Lonchura striata: one gene and its partner. The protein of the gene in region 1 interacts with the protein of each later gene in a biochemical or structural test. Links are inferred from orthologs where the notes say so. Each region holds a gene or a part of one and is shown in the gene's direction. Other genes may lie near its edges. The genes, in order: AP1G1 and SYNRG.

What was found.
Region 2: the proteins of AP1G1 (region 1) and SYNRG form a complex in vitro, tested with the Homo sapiens proteins (2 studies listed by BioGRID). The link is inferred for Lonchura striata from reciprocal best matches to the Homo sapiens genes AP1G1 and SYNRG.

The regions. Positions count from the first base shown.
Region 1 is NC_134615.1:23,780,846-23,788,608, forward strand, and holds the start of AP1G1 (AP-1 complex subunit gamma-1), read left to right. Parts: upstream 1-4,534; 5' UTR 4,535-4,647; intron 4,648-7,763. Other genes in the region: ATXN1L (ataxin-1-like), read right to left, coding at 1,035-3,101. UniProt on the Homo sapiens protein: Subunit of clathrin-associated adaptor protein complex 1 that plays a role in protein sorting in the late-Golgi/trans-Golgi network (TGN) and/or endosomes.
Region 2 is NC_134622.1:10,561,079-10,568,738, reverse strand, and holds the start of SYNRG (synergin gamma), read left to right. Parts: upstream 1-4,418; 5' UTR 4,419-4,584; intron 4,585-4,685; 5' UTR 4,686-4,689; coding exon 4,690-4,726; intron 4,727-6,132; coding exon 6,133-6,251; intron 6,252-7,461; coding exon 7,462-7,592; intron 7,593-7,660. UniProt on the Homo sapiens protein: Plays a role in endocytosis and/or membrane trafficking at the trans-Golgi network (TGN). May act by linking the adapter protein complex AP-1 to other proteins. Component of clathrin-coated vesicles.

The DNA.
Region 1 (7,763 bases):
CATCTGGAACATTTTTCTGACTTAATAACAAAATAGCATTGGTCTTCTCACAGAAGAAGGATGTTTTCAACCTTCTCTAGAGAATGTTGAATGTATTTTGCTCCAGATTAAAAAAAAAAAAAAAAAAAAAAAAACAAACCAAACCAATAAAATATCCAAAATCAAAATTTGACCAAACAAAAAAATCCAACCCCATTCATCCCTCGGTTAACCTCTGCAAAAGCTATAAGCCCAGGAGGGTTTTTTGGAAGTTATTAACATAGGAAGAAAGATTTGATTTGGTGGCAAAACAACTAAGTAGAGTTTACAGCAGGAAACAATGTCTCCCATCCCAACTTGTGTCCCATCTCAAGTGCTCAAGTTCCCTATTCACCTGCACCCAAGCCCATCCTTTTGGTCCTTCCTCTTGAATTTATGTGATTCATTCAAATCTGTACATTCTTTGCAAGAAGAAAGAGTAGTTGGATTCAGTGGAAGAGACATTAATCAGAACCACCAGAGAAGCACCTCCATCCTGCCCTTGAGAGCTCCATCGGTGAACGGTCCTTTTAAAGTGCATGTGTGAAGAAAGGGGATGCTGGGAGTAGAGCCCCCAAACTCCAGGGGGGACCCATATCTCCCCATCATGAGAAAGGAGAAATAAAATCTTCAGCAATTTTATCTGCTACCTTAAGACAAGTCTGCCCTCCTCATCTCCCTACCTGCCCCAAATGCTCAGCCCCTGCCCCGCAGGGAGTCAGTTATCCCAGGAAGTGGGAGAAAGCCCCAGCCTCCAGCAGCCTGTGGAATGCTCTCATCACACACTCATGACCACATCCCTGCTCCCCACCCCAGCTAGCCTGTCGCTGCTCCCTGAGGCACTGAAGGCCTCCTGACTCCCCAGGAGCAACTGGTCAGCCATGGAACTGGAATGGAGCTATTCCTGCAAGGCAGAAAGCAGCCTTTGTTGGTGAGCCTCTGACAGTCTGTGCAATTCCTCTACCTGATGGTGAGGCTCGCTTGCTGTGGCTGCCCTAGCTCACACCTCTAAGGGATCATTTCCCTGCATTCGAACGCCCTTCAATAGACAGCTTGACCTCCTGGGGAATGAAAGAGGGACGGAGCAGAGAGGGCCGAGGCTCCTCTGCCTGCACGCTGTATCTTTGGAAGCCTGGGGCCAAACTGTACAGATTGCCAGCCTCAGACTGAGAAGATTCTGCATGGGAGCTCTGAGCCGTGCTGGTTCTATCTGTGTGGCTCTTCCTTTCACCAGCTCTGTCACATGGCTCTCTGGGCCCCTGGGCTGTTCGTTCCAATCTCTCCCTAGCAGATACCAGCTGATCCATGAGAGGGGAGTTGGCCTGAGAAGCAGAGTTGCCATTCATGCTCTGTAAACTGATTGATATGCATACATCCCCCACTTGCAGCCTGTGACAGGGTAAAGCAAAGAGCTGAGCAGTCCTCCCGGGGCTGCAGGAGGACCAGCCCTGGCCATACACAAAGAAGGGATGCTCCGGGGGCACATCAATGCTCACTTTACTTTGTTGCTCCCCAACCACAAAATGCAGTGTGACAAGCCCAGGCCACTGGCTTTCCTGAATATCCACCACAGTGCTGGAGTCGATCTTCAGGCCTCCACTCACCTCCGCACTGCGAACAAAGTCTTGAGTCTGCAGGTCCTCCACCCGCTTCAGCTCTCCCGTCGCCAGCTGGATGATGGCTCCTTTCATGAAGTGAGAGGGCAGTTGTGAGGAACTGGGTGGCTGCAACTGGGCCAGCTCCTTTTCAAGCACATATCCTCGAGCCTGTGCATCTGGGCTTTCCCTCAGCAGGACTTCTGAAGTGGAAGACCTGACGGGCTCAGATCCAACGGGAACAAGTACTGGCTTGCCATTGGCTATCACCATTCCTTTGGCTAACTGTCTCTGTCTAGCAGTCTCTTCGGGGGACATTCCACATGGGCTCTGGGACTGGCTGTTCCCAGCTGCAGCCCTATCTGTGGTGTTCCTCAGCATGTCTCCCTGCCCATCAGTGGTATTATGGCAAAGATTTAAAGGGCTTGGGTCATCTTTCCTCTGGGCTGCCAGAACATGATAATCCTGAGATGCCAACACCCCCACCACTCTCTGAACCTCCAGATCAGCGTCTGGGGTGCTCCTGTGAGTAGGCACAGAGATCTCTCTTCCCAGCATCTGGTGACCTGGAAGGAACTGTCCATCACCCATAGATCCTGCTGCAGCCCCTGGGGGCAGACAGTCCTCAGCTGCACTGCTGGCAGAGTCCACAGCCTCGTTGGGCCTCCTGGCCACACTTTGCTCCAGGGGCCTCTGCCCACCATTGGCCGCAGCCACCTCTGAGCTCAGCTGACTGTCTTGCTGAGGAGAGTCTGGGTTCCCACCTGCTACAGGTGCCTCATAGGCTGAATAGCCTGGTGGGAGGCGGGACATCTGATAATAAACAGGAATCCTCCCCGGTGGCATGTCCACTGGTTGGGACGCAGTGTGGTGCTGCATCTGCCCAGGAGAGGCTGCAGAGGTGGATTTGTTGAAGCTGTGGGTAGGAGAGGTAGTCTGGGAGGAAGGAGCAGCTTCTTCTGTGAACAGGGAGGCATATGGAACAAAGTGGGGGACATGGGGGGCACTGAGGTTTGTGGAAGGAGACAGGAGAGGACTAGGCATGAAGGCAGGAGGGACGGCATAGGGCACTGTGTAGGGGGAACCAATGAGCTGCAGGGAAGCCGAAGGGATCTGTGCATAGTGGATGGAGGGGAAGGGCACCGCCGGGTGCTGGATGATGGGCGAGGTCACGCTGAAGGCTGGGGGCAGGGGGCTCACGTTCACCACGGGGTGCAGGCCCGTGGGGGAGAAGGTGGCAGGCGGTGCTGCCACTTTGTAGAGCATCCCGTATTGGTCCACCGTCAGCCCCGCTGCTGCCTCGGGGGCCTCGCCGGGACCGTAGCGCGGTGTGGCGGGAGCCGGGCGAGCCGTGCGAGCCCACTCGGGGCCCGAGCCCGAGCCCTGGGCTCCCCCGGCCCGTCCCGCCTCGGTGCCAGTGTTGGCGGCGGCAAGTTCTCGCTTCTTGGGCGGGAGACACTCCTGGCTGCGCTCCTGGCCCGCTCTCATGGCGCCCTGCGGTGTCCCGGCAGCCCCGGCCGCGCCGCTCGTTCATGGGGGCACCCACTGGGGTTGCCACGCGCGGGCTCCGGGATCCGCGCCGCCGGCCGCCGCCTCACCTGTGCCGGGAACAGAGGGAGCCGTGAGTCCAGGCCTCGGGAAGGGGAGGTGGCCCGAACCCCGGCCCCGGGAACGGCCACGGCGACGGCCGCTGGCCCCGGTGCGGGACGCGAGGACGGAAGACGCCCGAGCCCGGTCGCCGCCCCCAACCCCGGCCCCAAAACCGCGGCCGCGCTACCGCGCACCCCGCCCCGTAGCGTCCTGCGGGCCCGCCTGGTGCTCGCCCGGTGCCCGCGGCTCACCCGCCATGGCCCGGACCGGCCCCGCGGGCTCGCCCGGTGCCCGCCCGGTACCCGCGGCTCACCCGCCATGGCCTGGACCGGCCCCGCGGGCTCGCCCGGTTCCCGCCCGGTGCCCGCCCGGTGCCCGTGGCTCACCCGCCATGGCCTGGACCGGCCCCGCGGGCCCGCCCGGCGCCCGGACCGGCTCCTCCCCGCCCGTGGCGCACGGCGATGACGCGTCTCATGGCAATGACGCGCACGCCGAACGCCGGAACTGCTCGGTAGGCGTGGCTCCGCCGCGCCGGATGGCGTCCCGGGGCACGCGCAGCGCCGTTGCCGTGGCAACCAGCCGCGTCCGCCCGGAGCTGAGCTCGACCCGCGAGCCGCGCCCGCCCGGCCCCAGCGCAGGCGCCTGGCGGCAGCGCCGCGCGGCTGTTGTTGGCCCCGCGCCCCGGACCGGATCGCTCCGCGGTTGGCTGGCAGCGAGGGCCCAGCGGCAGCGTGGCCCGGCTCCCCTGCAGGAGCCTTCGGTCTGAACGTGCCCGTGCCCTGTCTCGCACCCCCGCAGTGTCCAGCTGGCCCCGTGCTGCCGACCGGGCTCCGCGGGGGCAGCTACTCGTCATTCGATAATCGTTAATGTGGCATAAGGTCCTGGAAGCGGGAACAGAATAGCTGCCTGGGGCGGGGGTGGCTCTGTATCCCCTTCCAGAGCTGCCTCGTTTCCTGCGGCGCCCTGCGTTCACCCCGCCGCCGCTGGACGTTTCAACAGTGCAAGGTTCGGCGAACTGGGAGCGGCTTGGCCCCTCGGAACCCCTCGATCCCGGAACCGCGGACACGGGCGGCGGGTCCCGCCCGGCCCCGGCATGGGGAGCGCGCGTGCCGGGACCGCCCCGCGCATGACGTCATCAGGGAATGCCACGGTGCAGACGCAAGTTTTCGTATAAGACCTCACGGGTGCTTCCGCCAAGAAAAGTAGTGCAAGCGGTATTTTCGGTCCCGCCACCGCCTCTACTGTACCACACTCTCGCCATCCCCGCCCCGTTCCCGCCGAACTCGGCGCGGCCGCGCTCGCACCCGCGGTCGGCAGAGCCTGCGGAGTCGCGGGGAGCGAGTCGGCCTGGATCCCTCCGCCTGCGGTATCGGTGCTGCGGCCGCGCCGCCGCCATTTTGAATGCCCGGCTCTATCCGCCGCCACCGCTGCAGGGACCGGCCTGGTGAGTGGGACCGGCTCGGGTCTTTGCTGCCCCGCCGGGCTTCCCCTGACCTCCGGGTCTCGCCGCCTGGGGCCTGCGAGTCCTGGGGCCTCTCTCCGCCCCGAGCTCCGCCGCTGGGCCTCGGCTGCTCTGTCCGCGAGGCCGCCCCCTGCCCTCCCGCCGCCTCTGTCGGCGCCGCTGTCTCTGCCTGGCGCTCCGGCCCGCTTCCAACTCTCCCCTGCGCCCCGGGGCCTCCTGCTCGGGTGTGGGAGCGGTCCGTGCGTGCCCTAGCCATTCTTTGCCGGAGAGACGGCGGTGCAGCCCTGCCTCGGCCCCCGTGCCCGGAGGTCGGGCAGCGGCAGCAGTAGCGCGTACCTCAAGAGCGGTTCGTGCTGTGGCCCGCTGCCGTCCTGGCAGAAGTCGGGACTTGTGCTCGGCCTTCCCCTCGCTATATGATTGCCTAGGCTGCACAAGCGCTCCGAATATTGCAGCGTCTGCATTACTTCCCGGTTATGGGTTTTAATGGAAGCAGGAGATTTTCGGTCTGGCTCAAGGTATTTGCAGTGAGCTGCTATGGCCGGTCTCTAAGGGCGCCTTCAAGTCCCTTCTTCAAGGCTGGCTGAGCTCTCGCACGAGCTATAAGATAAATTGTAGTTTATTTTATAGTAGACACTGTTTTTAAAGTTAACAGATGGAACAGGTGTGTGTTTTATTGTGTTGAAAGTGATGTGTAAAAATGTTGAGCGACAAATTTCAGTTTCTGATGCTTGAAATATTAATGGGACAGTGCAGAATCCCAGTGGAAGATCTTTGAAAGGTTAACAGTGTCACATGTGTGGCCAAAAGGTGTTTGGTCCATAGTGGCTTAAACAGTAAAATATAGTGTGTTTTCCCCTGTAAATGCAGGGGAATCTTTTAGGGATGCTCCTAGCATCCTACATTTAAAATGGCAGAGAAATTTGTGCTGTTTTGTTTCCCTGTTGTTTTTTTGTGTAGTAGAGCACAATAGCTTTTTGTACCCATTTCCCTGCTACCTCTCCTCTAAACTACACTTGGGATTTTTTTCCTTTGTTTGTTTGTATATCAAATTCTTGTCATTTGTTGCCAGATTCTTTCATCTGTTTACTTGTGTGCTCTCTGGTGTTTGGCACAGGATTTGAAAACTTGAGTACTTGTTGGGTATTCAAGAGCTGAATGAAGGCAGGAGATTTTGTGGGTTTTTTTCTGAGGAGGTTGGTGTGAACCCTTCCATTCTACTGTGCTGGGAGAAGGAGAGGAAAGGTATTAAAATTCCTGTTTCTTGAGAAGGGAAAAGTAAGTCTTGGGTTATTGTTTTGTGAGGGGATCCAGCTTTTGTGTTTCCAGTGTGTAGGATAGCTTTCATATTTTCTCCCTTTATGATTAAAAAAAAAACATTTTCTTCCTTTTTTGTTGTTTTTCTTTTCTGTTCCTGTGACTGCTGATGTGTTTTTCTGAGAGTGGCACGGTAGAGATGGAAAGATCGTGTAGTACCTTTGAAGTGTCCCGTGAGAGATTAGGGGATAACAGAAATGCTCTGATTGTTGGTGTAGTGCGTTTTGCAGTGGCCTCGCTGTGCATGAGATTAGTGAGTCTGTCAGGCCATGGTGTGAGAAGGTTGTGGACAGTGCACAGGAGTCCAAACTGGCTGTTCTCAGGCACACAGAGCCCACCCTAGTTAGCGCAGTTCAGGTTTGGAGCATCAGCTTTCCAAGTGTGTGGGCTCGTGTAAATCTTTACTGCTGCTAAAAGTGATGGCAGTCAGTAAAGCTGCTTGTGCCTCTCCAGAGTGAATATTTGTATTTGTGAGCTGGCCCTGTAGAACTGCAGGCCATGGGTTGTGTGATCTCATCACATTTTTTAATGATAGAACAATTTCTTCTGAATGCAGGTGATGCTAATTTGTCCTAGATGATACTCAGCTGTTCTTTGGGGAGAGGGTCTGTTCTGCTATGGTAAGAGCATTAGTTTACTGGAGGAGCATTTTGGAGTTAATAAGTAAATGTATGATCAGGCTGTAACTTAAAAAACAGAGCTACAGTAATGTGAGTACAAGTGAATCTGCTGATATCACAGGTATTAGTGCAGCCTGTATCTGCTATTTGGCAGAAATGCTACAAGTGAAATAAAAGATTAGAACTTTTTAGAGAACAGCTGAAGTTATGTGGCCTGTTGTAAAGTTCATATTAATTAATGTAAAAATCTTGTCTTTCCTCTGGCATTAGCAAGGACCTAGAAGGGTGTAGGGGTTTTTGTGACAAACTAGTGGCTTTTTAAAATTATTATTATTTAAAGTTTAACTCTGCAGGAAAGTGAACAGGAAGTAAAATAGCCAGAGTAGTTCACAGATTAAATTAAGGGGAAATTAGAAGCAGTTGATAAGATAATGTAGGTCAGTGGTGATTGAAGAAGCCAGAAAATCTTGAATTCTTCTTGAATCTGTCATGGTGATCAGCTGTATAGCTGTGCTAATTCTTCTTCCTACATTTTTTACCTTCTTAAAAAAATAGGGTGATATTTCTCTTCTTTTTTGGCAGTTGTTGAGGTTAATGTTTGTACTGACTGGGAGCTCAGTGTGAAGGCAGCTCAGGAGTTGCTGCGTTTGGTGTATGTGCACAGTTGTGCAGGAATGGGATACCTTATCTAAAGTGCTGACTTGTGCTCTGGGGCCATGCCTCAGTCAGCAGGGAGTGGGAAGGGGTCTGTAGTTGTTTGGCAGTGGGATTGGGTGGGATCTGTGCAATGTCCTCAGCCTCTGTCCTGCCTCTCCTCTTCCTCTCAACTCTTGAGTAGCACTGAGCCTTGCTTTTTAAATAATGTTGTGCTGCATTCCTTGTTGGTGGTTTGTTTTTTTTTTTTTCAATGTAACTGGAAGTGGGACCATCTCTTCAGGACTGTTTTTAGCTCTTGTTTTGGGATACTTTTTTTCTTATTTGACCTCCCCTGCTCTTCTCCAGCTGTCTCTGCATAAAGCAAAGTGTAACTCTAATGCCTTTTCTTATGTGACTGCATTTTTTAAGCCCCCTGCTGACTTAATTGCTTTGTGATTTTCTGATGTTGCTTTCTAGTTCTCTATTGCATTCAATAGCTTTTTCCTGACAAGAGATTGTCCCACTTAG
Region 2 (7,660 bases), on another chromosome or scaffold:
TCCAGGCTGTTCTCGGGTGGCCATGGGGTTGTGGAGCTGAGGAACCGAGGGGATGTGGGGCTGAAGGGATGTGGAGCAGAGGAATCGAGGGGGTGTGGGGCTGAAGAACTGCGGCTATGGGGCTGAGAGGCTGAAGGGATGTGGGGCTGAGGAACCAAGGGGATGTGGGGATATGGGGCTGAGGGGCTGAAGAACCGAGGGGCTATGGGGCTGAGGAATCGAGAAACTGAGGGGATGTGGAGCTGGGGAACTAATGGGATGTGGAGCTGAGGAATTGAGGGGATGTGGGGCTGAAGGGATGTGGGCCTGAGGAATCGAGGGGGTGTGGGGCTGAGGGGATGTGGGGCTGAGGAACTGAGAGGATGTGGGGCTGTGGAACGGAGGAACTGAAGGGCTGTGGCTTTGTGGGGCCGTGGAACGGAGACACCGAGGGGCCGTGTCTCTGTGGGGCCGTGGCTCTGTGGGGCCGTGGCTCTGTGGGGCCGTGTCTCTGTGGGGCCATGGCCCTGTGGGGCCGTGTCTCTGTGGGGCCGTGTCTCTGTGGGGCCGTGTCTCTGTGGGCCGTGGCTCTGTGGGGCCGTGTCTCTGTGGGGCCATGGCCCTGTGGGGCCGTGTCTCTGTGGGGCCGTGTCTCTGTGGGGCCGTGTCTCTGTGGGCCGTGGCTCTGTGGGGCCGTGGCTCTGTGGGGCCGTGCCTCTGTGGGGCTGTCCATCTGAGGGGCCGTGTCTCTGTGGGGCCGTGGCTCTGTGGGGCCGTGCCTCTGTGGGGCTGTCCATCTGAGGGGCCGTGGCTCTGTGGGGCCGTGCCTCTGTGGGGCCGTGGCTCTGTGGGGCCGTGTCTCTGTGGGGCTGTCCACCCGAGGGGCCGTGCCTCTGTGGGCCGTGGCTCTGTGGGCCGTGGCTCTGTGGGGCTGTCCATCTGAGGGGCCGTGGCTCTGTGGGGCCGTGTCTCTGTGGGGCTGTCCACCCGAGGGGCCGTGCCTCTGTGGGGCCGCGCACCCGCAGGACCGTGTAACGGGGAGCGGCGGGGCCGGGGGCGGCGCCTGCCCAGGCCGGCCCCGGAAGCCGCCGCCGCCGCTCCGCTGACGGACGGCGGGGCCGAGCGCGAAGATGGCGCTGCGGCCCGGGCCCGGCGCGGGGGGCGCCGGCGGGGCGGGCGGCGGAGCGGCCGGGGCCGCCAGGTCGGTGCCGACCGCGAGCGGCGGGCGTGGAGGCACAGCGGACAAAGAGCGGGGGCGGTGATGGGGAATTGAGGCACGCGGGGAGGGGCGGCATGGGGGGCGATGAGAGCGCTGGGGGCTCGGAGTCCAGGTGCGATTGGGGTCAGTCAGGGCCCAGGTGCGCTGCGCGAGGTTTCTGGCTGGGGCCTGGGGGTCCCAGGTTGGGTGCGTGGGCTCTCAGGTGTGCTGCATCCTGGGTGGGGTGTGGGGGTCGCAGGTGTGGTACGTGGGGCCTCAGGTGAGGTTCGTGGGGTCTTGGGTGGGGTCCCAGGTGGGGTTCGTGGGTTGTCAGGCGAGCTTTGTGGGGTTTGGGGTAGGATGGATGGGGCTCAGGTGTAGTACCGGTGATCGTGGATGGAACATCAGTGTTCCAGGCAGGATGTAGTGGGGTCCTGGGTGGAGTACGTGGGGTCCTGGGTGGAGTACATGGGGTCCCAGGTGTGTTGTTGGGAATGCAGCCACGGTAGCTCTGCGCTTTGCCAAGATTTATTCACGTTTTTGGGGTGAATCCCCAGCTCTTTTCCCCCCGTGTGTCCAGGCTTGGGCAGTTGTGTCCCACTTGCCGTCAGGCTCTGCAGGTGCAATCTCAGATATTGGGGTGGGAAGGATTTGGGGATTCTGCCAGTGCCGCCGCTGTCGGCAGCATTAAATGTCCCTGTCAGGTCTGGCTGTGGCCTCCCTGGGACCCAGCTTCCCTGGGGACTTCCCTTTTCCCCTCCTTCTCACAAAGGGCACCTTGGCCACAGGGAGGACCGAGGAATCCTGTTGGGAGGAAAAAAAAAAAAAAGTGTTAAAAGAGATGTTGTGTTTCTGTAAAGCTTGGAAAACTGGATTTCACTACCTTTGAAGACTCTAGTAATGTTTTTTTTCAATGTACGCTCTCATCTGCTGTTTATCTCTTGTCCTACTTCCAGGGAGGCTGAGGAAATTTTGCATTTGACAATTAAGCCTCATTGAGTTGTCTTGGATATCCAAAGCCCACAGTTTTGTCAGTGTTACTGGGAGTGTTGTCACTGTTGTCAGTTTCAGAAATAAAGGTTCTGAAAAATAAAATTATTTACAAATCACCATTGCCCATTGATAATATTTTGGTTTCTCTGAGGACAAAATCTGGAGGTAGAGGGAAAGTTCTGTTCTGTGTCTGTGTGGGTTCTTTGCCTGATTTCACTTCAATTTTTGCACATTTCTGCCACTTAAAAATACTCTGACGGTCTGTTGCATCAATGGAGTTGTACTGCTTGAGAATTAAGGGGTTTAAAAATCCACTTGTAGATGGGAAAACGTTCTGTGTGGTTTGGAGCTGTTACAGCAAAGTTTCAGTTCAGAAAAGGTGTTGCTTCTCCCCACACTCCTGCATTTTGGCTGAAGCTCTTGCTTGGTTGGTCTGGGGCTTCTTGGTGGTTTTTTTTAAGCTCCATATTTAAAATACTCATGTAGTAGGAATCTACAGATTTCTAGTACTGCTTTAGGAGGTCTGTTGTAGGGTGATCACTTTGTTCCCTTCTCTTTACTGTGTTTGTGCAGCGTACCCAAGGCGGTCTCACACAGGTCCCCTCGCTGGCTCCCTCAGCCACAGAACCAGCTGCTTTCACTGATTGCTCTGGGCAATTCTGCATCTCCAAAAAAGCAGTTCAGTAATAAATTCCCATTGGTGGAATGGTTTGTGGCTGTGCCAGTGTGGCTGGTGCTGGCAGTTGCACACTGAATCCTGGAGTGAATACGGACGGGGCTGTGCTGCCAGAGCTTGCTTTTCTACTTTGGACTAGCTCATCTTGCAGTGCCCTCTAATCAGCTGGGAGTTTTTTGGTTGATTGTTTCTTTTTATTTTTTTCAGCAGAGACTTATAAATAAACCAGGAGCTGTGTAGAAAGGGATAAATATTTAATAGTTTGGCCTCTACTTGCTCCCAACAAGCAGTGGTACCTCCTGACGCTTGTTCAGTTTACATTGCATTTGCTGGTTTGGAGAATTCTTGTTGTTCAGGTTCAGAATTCTTGTTGTTCAGGTTCCCCAACCAGAAGGGAAGCAGGAAGCTTAGAACACTTCTACATGCTTAGGAGATCTTCAGAAATTACATTTAGTATTTCATCATTCTGACTAAAGTAAGTCTATTTGTTTTCATGTTGATACTGTATGCCAAGGAATGGATTTAAATGACTGAATAGAGTTAAACAGACCTTGGCTGTGGTGAGAATCAAGCCCTGCACATGTTTGGGGCTGAGCTGTTTGAGTCTGCAGAGTTCTTCAGAGGGAGATCCCCAGATGGTGGGGGTGGAGGATGGCAAGACTAGACCATTGGGAAGCACAGGTGTGTGATAGTTATGGAAGGCAAAATCAGCACACAATGCTCAGGGCTGAAGAAGAAGCTTCAAGATGATGAAGATCATGAATAAAGTGAAGAGCAAATGGGTCTTGGTGACCGTGTGACCCGCTGCCTGTACAGTGAGGAGGTGCAATTTGCTCCTGGATAAATGCATAATTTAAATTCCTTATTTTATCTTAGTGCTCATATTACACAGCTCTTTTATATTTATAAACCAGGTTGGCTTTCAGGACTTCCTGCAGCCATTTCTGATGGCATTTTCTCTTGTACTCTTCGACAGTTTCTTTTACATCCACCCTTGGAATTGAACATTGAATATCTATAAGTGTGTTTCTCTTCCACAGCACTTTGATGTAATAACTGCCTGGGACACTGAGTGAGGTTCTTGTTTGGGAAATTGCTGCTGACGTGGGTTTCTGCAAGTTGCTTGCAGATGAGAATTTTAAACTAGGCCCTTTTTTACTGTTTGGCAGCTGTTTCAGAGTGAGGGCTAGCAATTTCCATTAGGATTTTAGTTGAAATTTTAATGGTTCTTCCTCTAGGTGCACTTGACCCTTGATATGTGAATGAATGTTTTCTCCAAGATGCTATTTTTGTTGTAATTAGACAACTGAGAAAATAGAAACTCTATTATTTTGTGATACTTAGTGTTTCTAAAAGGGGAAGGGGAAAAGTAATGGAGTTTTGTGGATAGTTTATTTTTCTTCAGAAAAGCTGTTCCTAAGCAGCTGAGAAGTGTTCTCTGGTGGTCCTGCTGAGTCAGATACTTCCAAGAGGAGATGGTTATTCATTCCCTGCTTAGCCCACACAACAAACTGACCTGTTCCCAAGCTGTGTGGGTGCTGAGAGTCTCTTGTGGGTGATGTGGATGAGTCAAAGCCGTGTCAGGGCTGCTGGGAGGATCAGATCTGCGTTTCCTGGCTCTGCAGCCTGTGCTGGCGCTGTGGGGTGCTTCGGGGGATCCCACTGAGGGATAACATTGCCTTGGATGGGCTTGGGTTCTGGGGGACCTGCAGGAGCAGCTGCAAGTGCTGACCAGAAGGTGGGAGGCTCCTGGTGGTGGTGCTGCCGTGGAAGTCGAGGTGGATTTTCCATTTGCCCTAAAGTGACAGAATTTCACATACTCTCGTTTTCCTCCTGCAGCTTCATGTTTCCTGTGGCAGGTGGTTTGGGCCCCCCTCAAGGTACGTATCGGCTGCGCATTTTGAGCACAAAGTTCTTGACTTTGTTCAGACAAATTAGACCTAAACCAGGTCTGCAGTGATGTTCAGAGGTGTGATTATTAATTGAACTCCATGGCTGGTTTTTGTCCTTTTGAATTCAGCTCTGTTCAAATGACTCTCACTCCTCTGCTGGGAAAACCTCCAGTGTGCTGTTGAAGCAGCGCCACCAGAATCTGGATTAAAGGTCCAGGAAAACTACATCTCCCTTTTTAACCTGAATTGGCCTTTTAGACTCTGGTGTTATTTTGAGTGTGGTATTTCACCTCTCTTTGCTTCATCTCCCAGCTGTGTATACCCATACTGTGTGGGTGTTGCAAGACCTGGTAAATATTTACAAAGCACATCAAGACCCCAGGACAAGAGTCACAACCTGTGTGGAAAGTATTAATACAATGGCAGAGCCTCAGCCTTAAATTGCCTTTGTTCTCATTCCTGATGCAGTGCTGTTTGTTTAATTAGGGGAAAATATGCAGAGAATTTACGGGGAAAATAGAGTTTTTTATTAAAATCGCAGGGACTGATTCATGGATTATTCCTGCCTGTGTCATGCCCTCCTGGAGTGTTTTTGCATAATTATCTCCATGGTGTGCTGGTAACAAGTGCATGTTAGCGTTTGTCTCCCAAGACAGCAAAATGTGAGGGAGGAAGATGCTGAAACATAACACTTGCTTTATTCAGTGAATTAATACATTCCAGCTTGATTTGTCCAATTTTGTGCATGTTTAGCTTTTACTGACAAGTATTGTTACCATTCTAACACATGTAGTGGGCTAATTAACCTAAAGTGTGCTAATTAACCTACAGACAAGTTACCCAGCCAGGTCAGAGTGTGAAGTTGCTTTGTGAAAGGTTGACTTTATTTCCCAAGATTTATTTTCAGAAGCTGCTGGTTTCAAGAGAAATAGGAATTACCAGCACCAGTCACTCTGGTTAATTAAATAGTTTTAATTGGAAATGACCCTTCCAAAAATCTTATGGGAAAAAACCCACAGAGAATCTTTAGGATGGTGGGATAATTCATCAGGTTAGTTACTGAAAAGCCCTGTAATATTTTTCCCTGTAGAATGACCAGTGTCTAAACTAAGGAGATTTCTGTGGCTGCCTGCAGTGTAGCAAATGTTATTATTTTTATTTTTAAACAGTCCAGCTCAACTCAAGATTTTTTTTACTTTCCTTTGCTGGTTTAGTAAACAAAAAAAAAAAACCAAAAAAACCAAACAAAACAAAAAAAAACCAACCAAACAAACAAACAAAAAAAAACCCCCAAAACCAAAACAATTAAATGGGAGAGGCAGGGTTAGGGAAGGGAAAAAAAAAAAGCTTTTAACATTAACTGGGCTCTTAGCTTGTTTAATGTTTCATTGCAGGGATGATTCCTATGCAACAGCAAGGGTTTCCAATGGTTCCTGTCATGCAGACCAACATGCCAGGGATGATGGGAATGAATTATGGCTCTCAGATGCCTCCTGGACCCATGGCCATGCAGGTGTGTGGCAATGAAATGTGGGCTGAAACTGCAGAGCCCCAGGCTGGTTTGGGTTGAAAGGGCCATTAAAGCTCATCCAGTTCCACCCCCTGCCATGGGCAGGGACACCTTTCACCCTCCCAGGCTGCTCCAAGCTCCATCCAGCCTGGCCTTGGCCGCTTCCAGGGATGGGGAGTCCACAACCTCTGTGGGCACCCTGTGCTAGGGCCTCACCACCCTCACAGGGACGAATTTCTCTCTAATATCCAATCTAAGCCTGCCCTCCTTCAGGTTACAGCCTTTCCCTCTGTCCTATCATTTTTCTTTTTCCTCAAGGTAACTTTGTCTTTAGTGCTGCTGTTGCTAATTGAGGAATAAGAATGAAATATGAGCAGATCATATTATATTTTCTCTCTTTTAATCTGTTGTTTTCTATTTAGCGCCATATATGCTTATGTACAGTTTTGCACTTTGTTGAAATTCAATGTTTTGCATGACTTTCTAACCAAATTGCCGTGTCACAAATGGAATTTATTGTTTTGCCATCTCCTTACACTCCCTTCCCTCCCCCAGCTGCAATTTATTATGTTATTTTGGCAAAATTTATAGTAGGAAGATGTTTTTATGAGAGCTGGTCTAAAAATAATAAACAACTTTTGTTCTCTTCCTACGTGTTCTGAGACCAAATGCAAAATGAATGGCAAGAAAAATAATTATTTTCTGGCTCCTTCTATATTAGGCAGCTTTGCTGCTCTAGATGTCCCAGAATATATTCCTCAGCAAATGCTTCTGATATGGTTTATTCAGACAAGCTCCTCTTGGCTGTTGTCATATATTGTTGGTTCCCTGGATATGTCTGGGAAATGCCTAGACCACATTTTCCAGCATCTGTGGTTGGTAGGAGGGGGTATAAAAATATGAAATTCCTTAGAATAGGAACCAAAAATCCCAAAAAATCCTGTACTGAGTGGTGTGGGACGGCTGTAGCCTTGCTGCTCTTGGGGCAGGCTGGGTTTGAAGAGTTGGTTTTTGACAGTTTTCCCGAATTCTGTGAGGCTGAGCGCTTGTGGAGAGGAAGAGTGCCATCTACTGAGGGCACTGCTCCTCCAGCACTCCCTAACACCAGGCTCCGTTTATTGGCACTGCCAGTGCTTTGGCTTTTTCTACAGGGAAAAAAAATACACTGGAGCTGAAAACCCCCCCCGGAGCTGTGTGCTGTGTTTGCTTGCAGGGTGGCATGGCCCTCGGGCCGATGCCAGCAGCTGGAATGCCCTACATGGGCCAGGCCTCCTTCCTGGGAATGCGCCCGGCCGCCCCGCAGTACGGCCCCGACATGCAGAAGCAGTTTGCAGAGGAGCAGCAGTAAGTGGCCCTCACTGACTCCTGGGGAGCCCTGCTGGGAGGGGGAGATGTGCTTTCTCTGCAGCAGC